2 linked regions of the Drosophila melanogaster genome follow. The protein of the gene in region 1 interacts with the protein of each later gene in a pairwise test. Each region holds a gene or a part of one and is shown in the gene's direction. Other genes may lie near its edges.

Region 1 (5,701 bases):
ATTTTTACAATAATAAGAGTCAATGACCTCAGCGAATAGTCAAGTATACAATAGGCACCATCTTCAGAATAAATGTTCTTCGACTTATTCTGAATGTCGTTCAGTGCCCGATTAATTTTACGGATGTAAGCACATGGGCACGAGTTAATATTGCTTAAAACTTGAGGCCAAAGATTAAAAGTATGATTCAAAGCAGTTCATTGCGTTTAATCTAAATTTATTACAGGACTATTTTTGCCTACCTCAATAATAAATGTTTTAAATTATCCGGTTTCAATGCCGTCAACAATACTAGACCACCAAAAACAGTTGCTTGGATGCACTGACTATAAAATTGTTTTTACTCCTATTTCTTTAATTGTTTATCTATGTAACCTGCTTAAAGAACAGAAACTGGAAACCCACTTCTGAGAATATTTGGAACCATTACATTCTGGCATCTATTGCACAAATTATTAGTGCTTATATTGGTCAATTCGATTTAATTTCCAGGTTTCCAAAGGCAGCCTCCAAGGGTACAATCGTTTGTTTAGTCAAAAGTTGTTCGAGGGCCCATTGACTCAACTTTTGCAGCTCCTTCCGTTTGGAGCTCACAGCACGAGAGTTGTCCAAATGGTTGCAGCACAAGTAAATGCCATAAAGGGCCCTCAAGTTATGCGGATTAAGCTTCAGGGCCTGCGAATAGTAAGTGCGAGCCGATTCCATATTCTCGACGCCACCCTGAAAGAAAATTAATTCATAAGATGGACTTCATTACTGGTTAGTGGGCTTATATAGCTCACCATTGTGTATCGTATTTCTGCCAAACGCTGGTGTATTAGATGGCTATGCGGATTGTGCAGCAAAACCTCCTCCATGCAGAAGGCAGCTTTGCCAAACTCGCCTTCAGCCAGATACATGTTGCACAGCTCATGCCATGCCTCCTGGTCAGACATAAACCTGAAGGAATATTAAATAGTTATGAGATTATCGTACATGGTAAGATAAGTAGTTGTCTAGCAACCGGATGCCGGAAACTAATTTGGTTCCGTTCTTCCAAAAACACCATGAACTTAGCTTTCTTACTTCTTCAGATACTCGTTGAGCTCCTTGATGGCCTCCAGGCGACGACCACGGGCCTTAAGGATGGCAATCTTGCGCTTCCTGGGCGCGGCATTTGTCTCGTCCTTAGCAATGATTGCATCCAGGACCTCGTCGGCCTCATCGTACTGCTCCAGGGCCTCGTAGCGCATCGCTTTGAACTTCATCACGCGCAGGCTGCCCGGGAACTCGAGGGACAGCTGCTTGGTACACTTGGTGGCGATGTCAAAGCGAGCCGTATCCAATGCCGCGATGATCACCTGCTCCAGGATGAGATGCCGCTCGTTGCCGGTCTTGTGCACCTTGTCCTCTAGCACAGCAACCCACAGCTGGACCACCTCCTCGCTGTGGCGACCCGTCTCCTCGCGCCACGTTCTGAACTGATCCCGTACATCTGAAAGGATGATCATACGCTTATGATACGGCACTTTTCATTCATGGCAATTGGGAGCAACCCACTGACGTGGTCTGCACCTGTCTGGAGCCGGGAAAAGCCGAAAACTTACCCGACCAGCTCATCTTCTCATAATCTAGCGACATATTCACTTAGGCGGACTTAAATATCTCATCAATTTAATTTAATTTCCCAATTGTAATCATTAACTAGCGATTTCCTTCTTGGCAAAATAAAAGTGTGGCAGCGTAATGAGCCGTTAGATTATACCAAATAACACTAGCGTGGCGCTGCCAACCTGCTTTTTGAATATCGTAAAGTCTAGAAATGAAGTCAGAGGTAATTTTTTAAAACTTTTTATTATAAAGAGACTTCTAAAGTTAAGTTTTTCTACATATACCTTGTTTCCGATATTTGCAAAGTTAATTAAACTGTTAATACTTCTGAAATACTTGTAGGTCCTTGAAAAGGATTCTTTAATGAATTATTTTACCATGCATTAATCTTATTTTGTCCAAACTTTGTGCATTGCTTATCCATTTTAACAGATTTCTAAGTCAAGTGCACATTTGAAAAGCGCGCCAACGAAAACATGAAACATGATAGTTTTTCTTCCAGCGACGGTCACACTAACAAATCAAATAATTGTGGTACCGTCAACAAAAGCCAAGTCTCTCGTGCTCTCCGGGTATTAAAGCCGTGGAATCGGGCAGTGCCGCATGCGGTGCTGTGTTTAATTTCCCCAACTCCCAACAGATCCGGAAGCAGTTTGAACATGGGTCCGCCAAAGCAGCTGAAACGAACCTTTCTTGGCTTCGACTTGAGCACGCAAAAGGTGAGAACTGGAACTGCCTACGTAGTATCTTTGCATCTGAGATGTGGAGGCGTCTCCAAATCGACTACATCTGGGCCAATTGCGTGCGAATGGTGTTACTGGAAAAGGTCAAACGGTACTCGGGAACTTGAAACACGAACTACTCTTATCAGTTGCGGTGACCGGGGCTCGATTTTCGCTTATCTGCTAAAGACGCGAGCGCCAACCGATTTAACTATTATGGTTTGATTATTGAAATTCATGTTCGGAGGTATTGGCCCCCGACATTATCTTAATAGAGCCGCAATAACTTTCACAATCCCTGAATGACGCTGGCGGTGACTCCTAGTTGCCCTCTATGTTTGATCGTTATTTTCGAGGTGTGTCTCCATATCGCTAATTGCTGCCCCATTTACTCCTCTCAGCTCAAAGCCGTCCTGCTGGGCTCCAGTTTGGAGGTGGTTGCCGCGGCTGAAGTGAAATTCGACACCGACTTGCCGGAGTTCCGGACCACCGGTGGAGCCAACGCTGGATCCATCAAAAATGAGTGAGTCTGTTTCACCACTATCCATTACTCCAATTGAAGATTTTAATGGGATGATTGTTTGCGTAAAGCAAATAGGGGGATATATTTTACGTTTTTATATCTTGCGCTGTGGGGTATTTGTCCGATAATACTTAGGGCCCTATTTCATAGCAGTTGTTTTATTACACCACAATGGGTCTCTATCACTTCAAGTTTTTTTTAACCTTCCTATAACAGGGACCATATATACAATGGGTACTATAAAATATATATGTGCTAACCTGACTCCACCTTTACTTGTTCTTCTTTAGATACTTTGTACAACCAGTGATGTGGGTGAAGGCCATGGACATTGTCCTGGACCGACTGGTTATGCAGCAAGCGGATCTTAGCACCGTAGCTGCCATCAGTGGCTCCGGACAGCAGCACGGATCGCTCTACTGGTCCAAACATGGAATCAACACGCTGCAAAACCTCGATTCCGAGAAGTTCCTTCACGCACAAATCGACGACTCCGCCTTTGTGGTAAATCGTACTCCGATTTGGATGGACGCCACCACCACCAAACAGTGCCTAGAGATGGAGATGGCTGTTGGTGGCAAACTTAACATGGTGGAACTGACGGGCTCGAAGTGCTACGAACGTTTTACGGGTCCCCAAATTAGAAAGATATATCAGCAACGCTGCCACGCCTACGAAGAGGCCAACCGAATCTCATTGGTCAGCAGTTTTATATCATCGCTATTTCTGGGCTCCGTCGCTCCAATTGACTTCAGTGATGGTTCCGGCATGAATCTGCTGGACATCCGCAAGAAGAACTGGTCCAAAGAATGCCTAAATGTTTGTGCACCCGATTTGGACAAGCGCCTGGACATTCCGGTCAGTCCAAATTCGATTTTAGGCAACGTCTCTCCGTACTTTGTGGAGCGCTTTAGTTTTTCGCCCGATTGCAAAGTGGCTGCTAGCACGGGGGACAATCCTTCGGCGCTGTCTGGAATGTTGGTGGGCAGCAGCTGGCTTACCATTTCCATGGGCACAAGTGACACCCTAATGATGAGCTTGAAGGAGCCGCTAAACTGGGAGGAGGGTCATATACTCTGCCATCCAACTGAAACGGAAGAATTCATGGGCCTTCTATGGTAAATTATTCCTGGGACATTATATCTTAAAATTAGTTTATTTAAATGTCTTTTTCAGTTTTAGAAATGCTTCATTGGTCCGTGAGGAAATGAACAAGAAGACAACCGGCGGCGATTGGGATAAATTCAATGAGTATCTCGACTCCACGCCCCGTGGAAACTTTGGGAACATGGCCGTGCACTTTAACGACATGGAAATCATTCCCAAGGCGCAGGGTATTCTGCGATGGAACAGGGAAATGGATCCCAGTTCCCCGGACGCGGCTAGGGGTGTAATCAAGTAAGTCTGATTGAAAATTTAGCTGTTTTAGGTCCGACATGAAAGCAATGACTCATAATCAGTTAACAGACATCTGTAAATAGTTATTTTTAGAAATGACTTTTTACCAACATGATCATGTTTTTTGTCGTTTATACTTTTTCTTAATGCCTATTTCCCTTCTACTGAATTCTTTAAAATGTATAAAATATTCCTGACCTCTTTCGCTTTATAGATTCAGCTCGCCCCAAATCGAAATTCGAGCCCTAGTTGAAGGTCAGATGCTGCATCACCGGGCTGTGGCTGAAGACCTTGGCTACAAATTCGGACCCGAGACACAAATCCTTGTCACAGGAGGCGCATCTGTTAACAAATCAATCCTGCAAACAATTGCCGATGTGTTCAATGCTCCCGTCCATATCCAGGTTAGTTCATACCAACTGTTTCTCAAGTGCAAGCAATTTAAGCAACATGTTTCTTGCAGGATGAAGGATTTGAGGCTGCCCTACTGGGAGCCGCTTATCGATCCGCCTACGCTCTGTACCTTCAAGAGGCAGGTGATGGGGTGACGCCTCTCTGTTACCGAGATTATATCCTAAGTCTGACAAGTAACAAACTGAGCCTTGTATGCGAACCACACAAGGACAGCGAGGAAATCTACGCTCCAATGCTACAACGATATCGCGAAATGGCGCGCGTCCTGTCCAATCCTAACACATAAACTCTCCGAAAGCCCAACGTAACATTCCAGTTTATACTCCGTACATTCACAAACTGATTCCTTCTTAAACGTCTCCTGTAATTGACAGAACTTAAGTGCAATTAACAAATTCTGTGATTGACGATTTATTACAAATTTATGCGAAACCATATACAAATAAATTTTTATATATGGCCCACTCCTTATTGTGTCTGGTATGCCTTTAATCTTTGATCCGCCTACTTTTTGCGTCCACCACGCTCCTTGACCTGTAAATGCACCGTGGTTCCGTTTACCAGATTGTAAAAAGCCATGGTATTGCTGTCTTTGAAGAACATTCCCTGAAGGATAGATGTTATTGAAATAATAGTTTTCGAAACATTAGTTGTATTTCTTACCTCATAAAATATCTTCTGCTTGGCCGGTGGCATGCCAGTTTCGTCCTGCAGCTTCGTCTTCAGATTGGCAATGGGTTCAGAAAGTGCCATGGTCACGGCTATCATCTGTCCATTAAGCTTCCACTCTGATTTGTCGGAATTGGGTACCAAAACCTGAATGGTCACAGGGCTCTGAAATAATTTAAGATGGGTTATATACCAATAGATAGCCAGATATCAAAATCAAACTTACCTTGTGGGTGGCAATAAAGTCTGCTTCTGGAATCAGGTTGTCCTCGCTTCGAATCTTTTTAGAAGGCGGCTCCTCCTCCATTATATCAACAGGTGGAGCAGGTGCAATTTGCTGAGGGATTCCACCAGGCTGCATGTTCATGTAGCCTCCACCACCAGC
Region 2 (7,027 bases), 3.7 Mb from region 1:
ACAGTTGGCTTCTCTAGCATAATATCTAATTATAAAGTTACAAAAAAATACACTTGAATAAAATTATGCGTACGCCAGTGAGTGCATTTATTCAAAACAAAGCCAGAAAATGAATGACGTCCAGCCCGTTCTCCCCTTTTGGATTGCCGTCTAAAATGATTAAGTTAGTTGAGTTAATTAATCTGGCGGTGTCGATAACCCGAGTTCAATAGTCATTACCCCCTCGGATCCCCCACCGCATCCAAATGCAATCCGTAGTCTATATGCGTAGTACACTCGATCCCCGGGCATATTTATTTTCATCAATTGATTGATTCACGACTCGTTCGTTTACCTCTCGCAAACCTGATGCCGCAATCGAATGTGTGTTTGTGTGCCGCAGCGTCGCATGTTGGCTCAGTGGGTCATGCGTCGACGGGTTGGTCTTGAACCGCAGATCAAGTGAACACAAAAGCCAATTGAAATTAGAATCCATCCGAGCGTTGGCAAATTGCATAACATTTGCAGTGGGGGCTGCAGGCCATTTCCATTTCCATTTCCATTTCCATTTACCCACCTCCCCCTTTCCTTGCGAAAGGCCACATGTTGTTATACACATGTTGCAGATTGCACTGCGGCATTCTGCTGCATATGAGATAGACGAATGGACGACGAGTCGACTAATCTCGGTCATAGTCGCTAATTAAAAGGTTTAAGGCTAAAATTAGCATATGAAGCAATCGCCATTTCCCCCGGCAGCATAAGCACAGATACAGATACAGATACAGATACACCAGCACCCGCAACCGCACACACTCGCACTCATCTTACATAGATACACCTGCGTGCTTGGTGTTCATGAGACTGAAATACATGACGTGAACAAAAGCCATACCTTCTGGATTTCCACACCCCTAGCGATCCGCCGACCAAAATGGGCATACGACTCCATACACATACGTATGCAAAGTAAGGTGGCCGGCGGGCGGAGGGGTGTTGTTTTAGGCACATTAGATGGCATCGCATGCCACCAATTACCCGCATAATCTTGTAATACTAACCCGCCGAACCCTCCGCACTCTGAAGGGCCAATTTGGCTTACGGTTACGCCTCGCAGAGCTTTAATTCCCTTTAAATAGTGGCACACTAGATGACGCCCCGATGGGGATTACATTCCCCAAAAACACGTGTGACTCGAGTAGTTAGTGGCGCCCAATGACGCCATCTCTATTACACTTGAATGGTCAGGCTTAAGTGCCGAGTTATGGGCGCTGTTGACAGCCTTTAAACGCATCTGTATCCGTACCATTTGTAGTATCTACAATATCTGGGGTTCTTTGCCAGTCGAAAGCTTAGTTCCGATCCACCGCGTCCACTTGAGTACGTTACCCGTGGCCAGCTGTCCGTCGGCGGACTGGTCAATTATTTTGTGAAATTAAATTAAATTGATTGAATTTAGACGCTCTTCGGGCAGAGGTCAATGCGGAGGTGCTTGGGTGGCAGCTGTGCACACGAAGAAAATATGAGGTGGTTGTTAAATTGACTAATGGAAGCTGTTGACTATCTTTAGTTGATTAGCTCACGTTGAACTATTAGAAAATTTAAAGGTGTATTTTGAAACTCGTACTATTCTTCCACATAGTGATGACAACTTTATTAGCTAATATGTAATATTTACATAGAGATATAAAAATGATTTGATATATTATTTGATATTTGATATTATTAACATCATTTGTGCACTTTTTTTTAAATCTTTTATATCAACGAAAACATGTTTAGTTTTATAAATATCTTAGATTTCAAATATCGATATGAAAGTTCAACTTGCTTTATTTTCTGTGTATAAATTGCTATAGATGCGCGTTTGTTATTGCTAGTCCAGTGATAATGACACAAATATTTGAACGATCTGCTTTGTAGTCGTTCCTGTTGATTAACTGAGATATAAAGGCGAATTAATGAAGCGATTGAGGTTAAGGGGTCAAATCATTGCAGTTATCTGTTGCGGAAATCCGGATATTTCCTGTCCTTAGATCGGCATAAGTAGTTTTTGAAATCAAGATCACCCCCAGCAGCATCCCCCGATTCTCCTCCTCCGGCTGGAGATCCATTGATTGCATGTTGCCAGTTGATAGTCGCTGCTGCGCCGACTGATGTTGCTGCTGCTGCTGCGACGGCTGCTGCTGCTGATGTCGCTGGTTGCTGGTGGCTGCTGTCGCCGCTCAATTGTTTGTCGCGCGCCGTGATTGCGCATCTCCGCGCGGCGCTTTCAGTTGGCGATGCGAGCGCGACTCGGCCGCAGTAGTCTTCGGTCTCCAGCTTCCAGCTTCTAGCCTGCGGCATCCGATCTGCAGCTCGGCATTCTCGGCTTGGGTTACGTCCAGTGCGGCTCGGCAAACTGCGTTTCGCGAAAAATTGCGTTTAATTAAAGTATACAGGCCAGCGAGCTCCTCAATTACGGCTGCTCGTGGGATGAGTCGCCACAGCCAACTGAAGCTAGCGATGCCCTCGGTTCACGGAGCTCCAGCCACCGCTCCTGGCTCGCCGATGAACGCCAAAGCCCGGAGCGTGAAGCTCGGACTGGGTGTTAATCAGCGGACAGGTCGTGTGCAGTGGTGTCCCGGTCTGACCTGCTGCAAAATGCTTCTACTTCTTCCAGTGGTAATGCTGCCACTGACCCTGGTGCTCATCCTGATCATGCGGCTGGACGGGATGCTGGCGGCGCTGCAATTGAACGAACAGAGGATGAGGGATCTGCGGAACTCTCACAGCGAGGTGCCTGTCTATATGGAGGATTACGAAGCCCTTTTACCGGAGGGTAGTACCTACAACGACCTGATCAACGAGGAGTTCATACTGCCGGCGAGCAAGCGGACCCAACTGCAGATTTTGGCCGCGGAGAGGGCGCGTCGCTGCCAACCATATCGCTACGGGAACGGGGAGTCCATGGAGTTGGAGGAGCGCAACACGCTGATGAAGGACTCCCGAACCTCCTTCCTGCCACTGGGCATTCCGCGAGAGTGCCTCGGCAGCGGCATTGAACTGGACATTAAACCCATAGATGAGGAGGCCTACCAGAGGCAGAAGAAGCGCTACCAGGACATAGCTCCGTATTGGCTGGAGAAGATCAGAATACGGGAGCGCCGCGAGGCCGAACGTCATGCAGAGGAGGCCAGTGCCGAGATCAGCGAGGCCACCGCCGCTCTGCAGAGTTTCTGGAACGAGGAAGGCACTCGGGAGGGCATTCGCATGACCCAGGCCAAAACCATGAAGCGCTACATGGATAACAAAGTGGATCCCTGCGTGGATTTCTACAAGTACGCCTGCGGCAACTGGGAGCGCCTGCATCCAATACCCAAGGATAAGGCCGGCTTCGATACCTTCGAAATGCTGCGTGAGAGTCTGGACCTGGTGCTACGAAATCTTCTGGAGAAAAATACCCCTGTGCACTCCGCAGCGGAGCTACGAAAAAGTCCCGTGCGGAATACTCTATTTAAGCTTAATGAGCAGGGCGAGGGTGAGGGCGAAGCTGACCAGGCGGCGGAACTTACGGCGGAACGCCTGCGTCGGCACATTGTCAGTAAGAGGCAGTTGCTTAACCGCGTTCTGGTGCGCTACAAGCGGTATACCAACGGAACGAAAAGGAAACGCCTCATCGAAACCCCACGGGAGAGAACCAAAGAGGAGGAAGCTGCTCCACCAGTTGTCCTGCCAAAGGATAAAACCAAGGACAAGTCGGATAACGAAGAGCAACTACATGTGCCCACCGATTTCCTAAAGCCCCATCAAGATGCCCAGCTAAAAGCAAAGAATCTGTACCGGTCCTGCGTGAACAGCGCGGTGCTGGCCAAGCGGGGATTGGAACCGCTGCACACGCTCATTCGGGAACTAGGTGGCTGGCCAGTCCTGGAGTCCCAATGGAGTGAGTCCAACTTTAACTGGCAGGTGCTAGCCGCCACCCTTAGACGTTACAACAACGACATCCTCATCGTCCAGTGGGTGGGGGCGGACATCAAGAACTCCGAGGAGAACATTGTTCAGTTTGACCAGACGGGTCTGGGCCTGCCCACCAGGGAGTACTTCCTCCAGCCGAGCAACGCCAAGTACCTACAGGCCTACCAGCGCTACATGGCCGAGGTGATGCACAAAATGGGCGCCTCCAAGGCGGATGCCCAGCGGGTGGCCAGCGAGCTGGTGGCGTTCGAAACGCAGCTGGCGGGGATTACAGCTCCAGCGGAGCAACGACTTAACGTCACCAAGGTGAGTGGCTTCTAAGACTTTTAAATTATTCTTACTAGTACTTAATATATTTTGCTTCGAAACATATTTCTATAGAATATCTAAAACGTTTTAATACGTCTTCATATTTCACGCAGCTCTACAAGCGCATGACGCTGGACCAACTGCAGGCGGTGGTTCCGGAAATCAAGTGGCGAGCTTACCTGCAGAGTCTGCAAGATCGCGAAGTTCTGGGCACCGAGGAAGTGGTCATCTACGCGGTGGAGTACATGAGCAAGCTGGTGACTCTTCTAGATGAAACGGATCCCCGAACGGTTTCCAATTACATGATGTGGCGCTTTGTGCGGCACAGGATCAACAACGTGGACGATCGATTCGATGACATCAAACAGAGTTTCTACCACGCCCTCTTTGGCCGCGAGGAGAGTCCGCAGAGATGGAAGGTATGCATCGCCCAGGTGAACACCAACATGGGCATGGCAGTGGGTTCCATGTTCGTGAGTCGCTATTTCGACAACAACAGCAAGCGGGACACCTTGCGGATGACTCACGATCTGCAGCAGGCCTTTCGGGATATCCTGAAAACCACTGATTGGCTGGACGACACCACAAAGCAGTTGGCCGAGGAAAAGGTTAACGCCATGTCCCTGAAGATCGGCTATCCAGACTTTATCCTTAATCCCAGTGAGTTAAATAGCAAGTACGCGGGCATAGAAATCTATCCGGAAAAGTATTTTGAGAACACTCTGAATGTTCTGCTTCACACGGCCAAAACGGAGCAGGCCAAGCTCCACGAGAGGGTCAACAAGACCAACTGGCAGACAGCTCCTGCCATCGTCAATGCCTATTATAGCCGCAACAAGAACCAGATCATGTTTCCCGCCGGCATCCTGCAGCCGCCCTTCTACCACCGCCACTTTCCGAAGTCGCTGAACTTCGGCGGCATCGGTGTGGTCATTGGCCACGAACTGACCCACGGTTTCGATGACAAGGGTAGGCTCTTCGATCGCAACGGCAATATACATAAGTGGTGGACGGACTCCTCGATTCGCGGGTTCGACGAGCGCGCCCGCTGCATTATTGCCCAATATAGCAACTATACCGTCGAGGAGGTGGGAATCGTCCTGAATGGAGAGAGTACGCAGGGTAAGTCGATTTGATTCAAATATGGTGCTGTTGACCAAACGAATATGGTCCAAAAATATGATCGATTGATTGTAGAGTTAATCACAATCATTGTGAATGGTTTAGTCATTCCAAGTCACAATCATATATTGTGTATTAATAATTTCTAACGATTTATCTCAGGTGAGAATATCGCAGACAATGGAGGCCTCCGGCAGGCCTTCCACGCGTATCAGCGCTGGCTAAAGGAGCATCCCAGCGAGGTGTCGGACGAGATCCTGCCAGGACTTAACATGACAGGGCCGCAGCTGTTCTTCCTGAACTTCGGTCAGGTTTGGTGCGGAGCGATGCGACCGGAGGCCATCCGGAACAAGCTGAACACGGCCATCCACAGTCCAGGTCGTTTCCGGGTGATTGGGACGCTCTCGAACTCCGTTGACTTTGCGCGGGAGTTCAATTGTCCCCTCGGCTCACCGATGAACCCTCAGAAAAAGTGCAGCGTTTGGTAGTCGGAGGGAACCAAATCAATAGCCTAAGAGTATTAAGCATGACATATGCCACACATTCCTAGACCAAAGACCGAAGGCATGTCATTTGGTGAGTACCCGGGTGGTAGTGGAACCTCCATGTCGGGGCTCTAATTGCGCTCCACTTTGGGCGCCACTTAACGGAGAAAGTGGTAGTGTCTGGCGGCGCAGCTTCCTTGTGGCTCGTTACCCATTTGCCCCTAACTGTTGTGCCAACAACGGCATCACACTTCAATTGGGGCGCATGCACTTAATTAATGGTGATTTATGCCCAGCAGTTGGCTCAGTTTCTTGCCGGGGAACAACTTCTCCGATTGTCTTTCCAATCAAACTACAATTGATGGAAGTCACTTGGAATGCCAATGGGGTTGGAGTACCACTACTCTATATATACAGCTATTAATACGCTCCGCTAAGATTTTCCCCTCCATTACAGGGATCACAACGGACGGAACACCCATCTGGTCATTGCCGAAGATTCGCCTTGGGTTTATGGCTCCCCCATCACAACAAAGATTATGTGCCAAAAATTAACTTGCAATCTATATATTTTTCTTAGCCCTTAACTATTTATACTTGTAACTTGCAATAGTTTAGTTTATGATGCAATTTATGTTTGTGATAATTCTAATTAAATGTATTTATATTATCAACAAATGGTGACTTTTAATTTAATGGTGATTGTTCAACACTGGAAGCTTTCAAGTTCAAAAAGAATATTTTGGAAAACTTTTGAGTGGAATTTTTAAAGCAATTATGAGTGGCCATTCAGTTGGAAACGTGCGCTCGGCGACTAAGGAACATCAAAGACATCGCGCTAGTGGGTGATCCAAAAATATACGTATATATTTAGATATACCCATTGTTAGATACTCGAATACCAGAGGACGGAAATGAAAAACTCCCAAACCAAACTTCAATAATTGAAGGCGATGCATTTCTGTTGGATATCTCTGATTATTCTCAGCCTGAGCAGAGTGCAGGCACAGTTTTATGGGGGTAATGCATACGAAGCATCTAGTGGTCAATCCATTCGCCTGGGTGAGTGAAACATATGAAAGAGCTTAAGCAGATTGTTCTCCCGATTTTCGTTTTGACTCAAAAAAAATTCATATATATATAGGCCTCATCACCGACGACGCCACCGATAGAAT

What was found.
Region 2: the proteins of CG3534 (region 1) and Nep4 interact in a two-hybrid assay, tested with the Drosophila melanogaster proteins (one study listed by BioGRID).

The regions. Positions count from the first base shown.
Region 1 is NT_033777.3:16,994,340-17,000,040, forward strand, and holds CG3534 (uncharacterized protein), read left to right. Parts: upstream 1-2,106; 5' UTR 2,107-2,249; coding exon 2,250-2,309; intron 2,310-2,713; coding exon 2,714-2,835; intron 2,836-3,125; coding exon 3,126-3,953; intron 3,954-4,011; coding exon 4,012-4,233; intron 4,234-4,447; coding exon 4,448-4,637; intron 4,638-4,696; coding exon 4,697-4,933; 3' UTR 4,934-5,110; downstream 5,111-5,701. Other genes in the region: EMC2A (ER membrane protein complex subunit 2A), read right to left, coding at 472-720, 783-939, 1,066-1,474, 1,587-1,620; Sf3a1 (splicing factor 3a subunit 1), read right to left, coding at 5,152-5,253, 5,311-5,481, 5,543-5,701.
Region 2 is NT_033777.3:20,652,067-20,659,093, reverse strand, and holds Nep4 (neprilysin 4), read left to right. Parts: upstream 1-2,251; 5' UTR 2,252-2,454; coding exon 2,455-4,242; intron 4,243-4,358; coding exon 4,359-5,367; intron 5,368-5,529; coding exon 5,530-5,855; 3' UTR 5,856-5,943; intron 5,944-6,309; 3' UTR 6,310-6,527; downstream 6,528-7,027. Other genes in the region: GluRIID (glutamate receptor IID), read left to right, coding at 6,806-6,914, 6,997-7,027. UniProt on the Drosophila melanogaster protein: Metalloendoprotease which cleaves peptides at the amino side of hydrophobic residues - such as the hormones Akh and Dh31, and the neuropeptides Allatostatins (AST1, AST2, AST3 and AST4), Crz, Drosulfakinins (DSK-I and DSK-II), Lk, sNPF and the tachykinin peptides TK-1, TK-2, TK-4 and TK-5.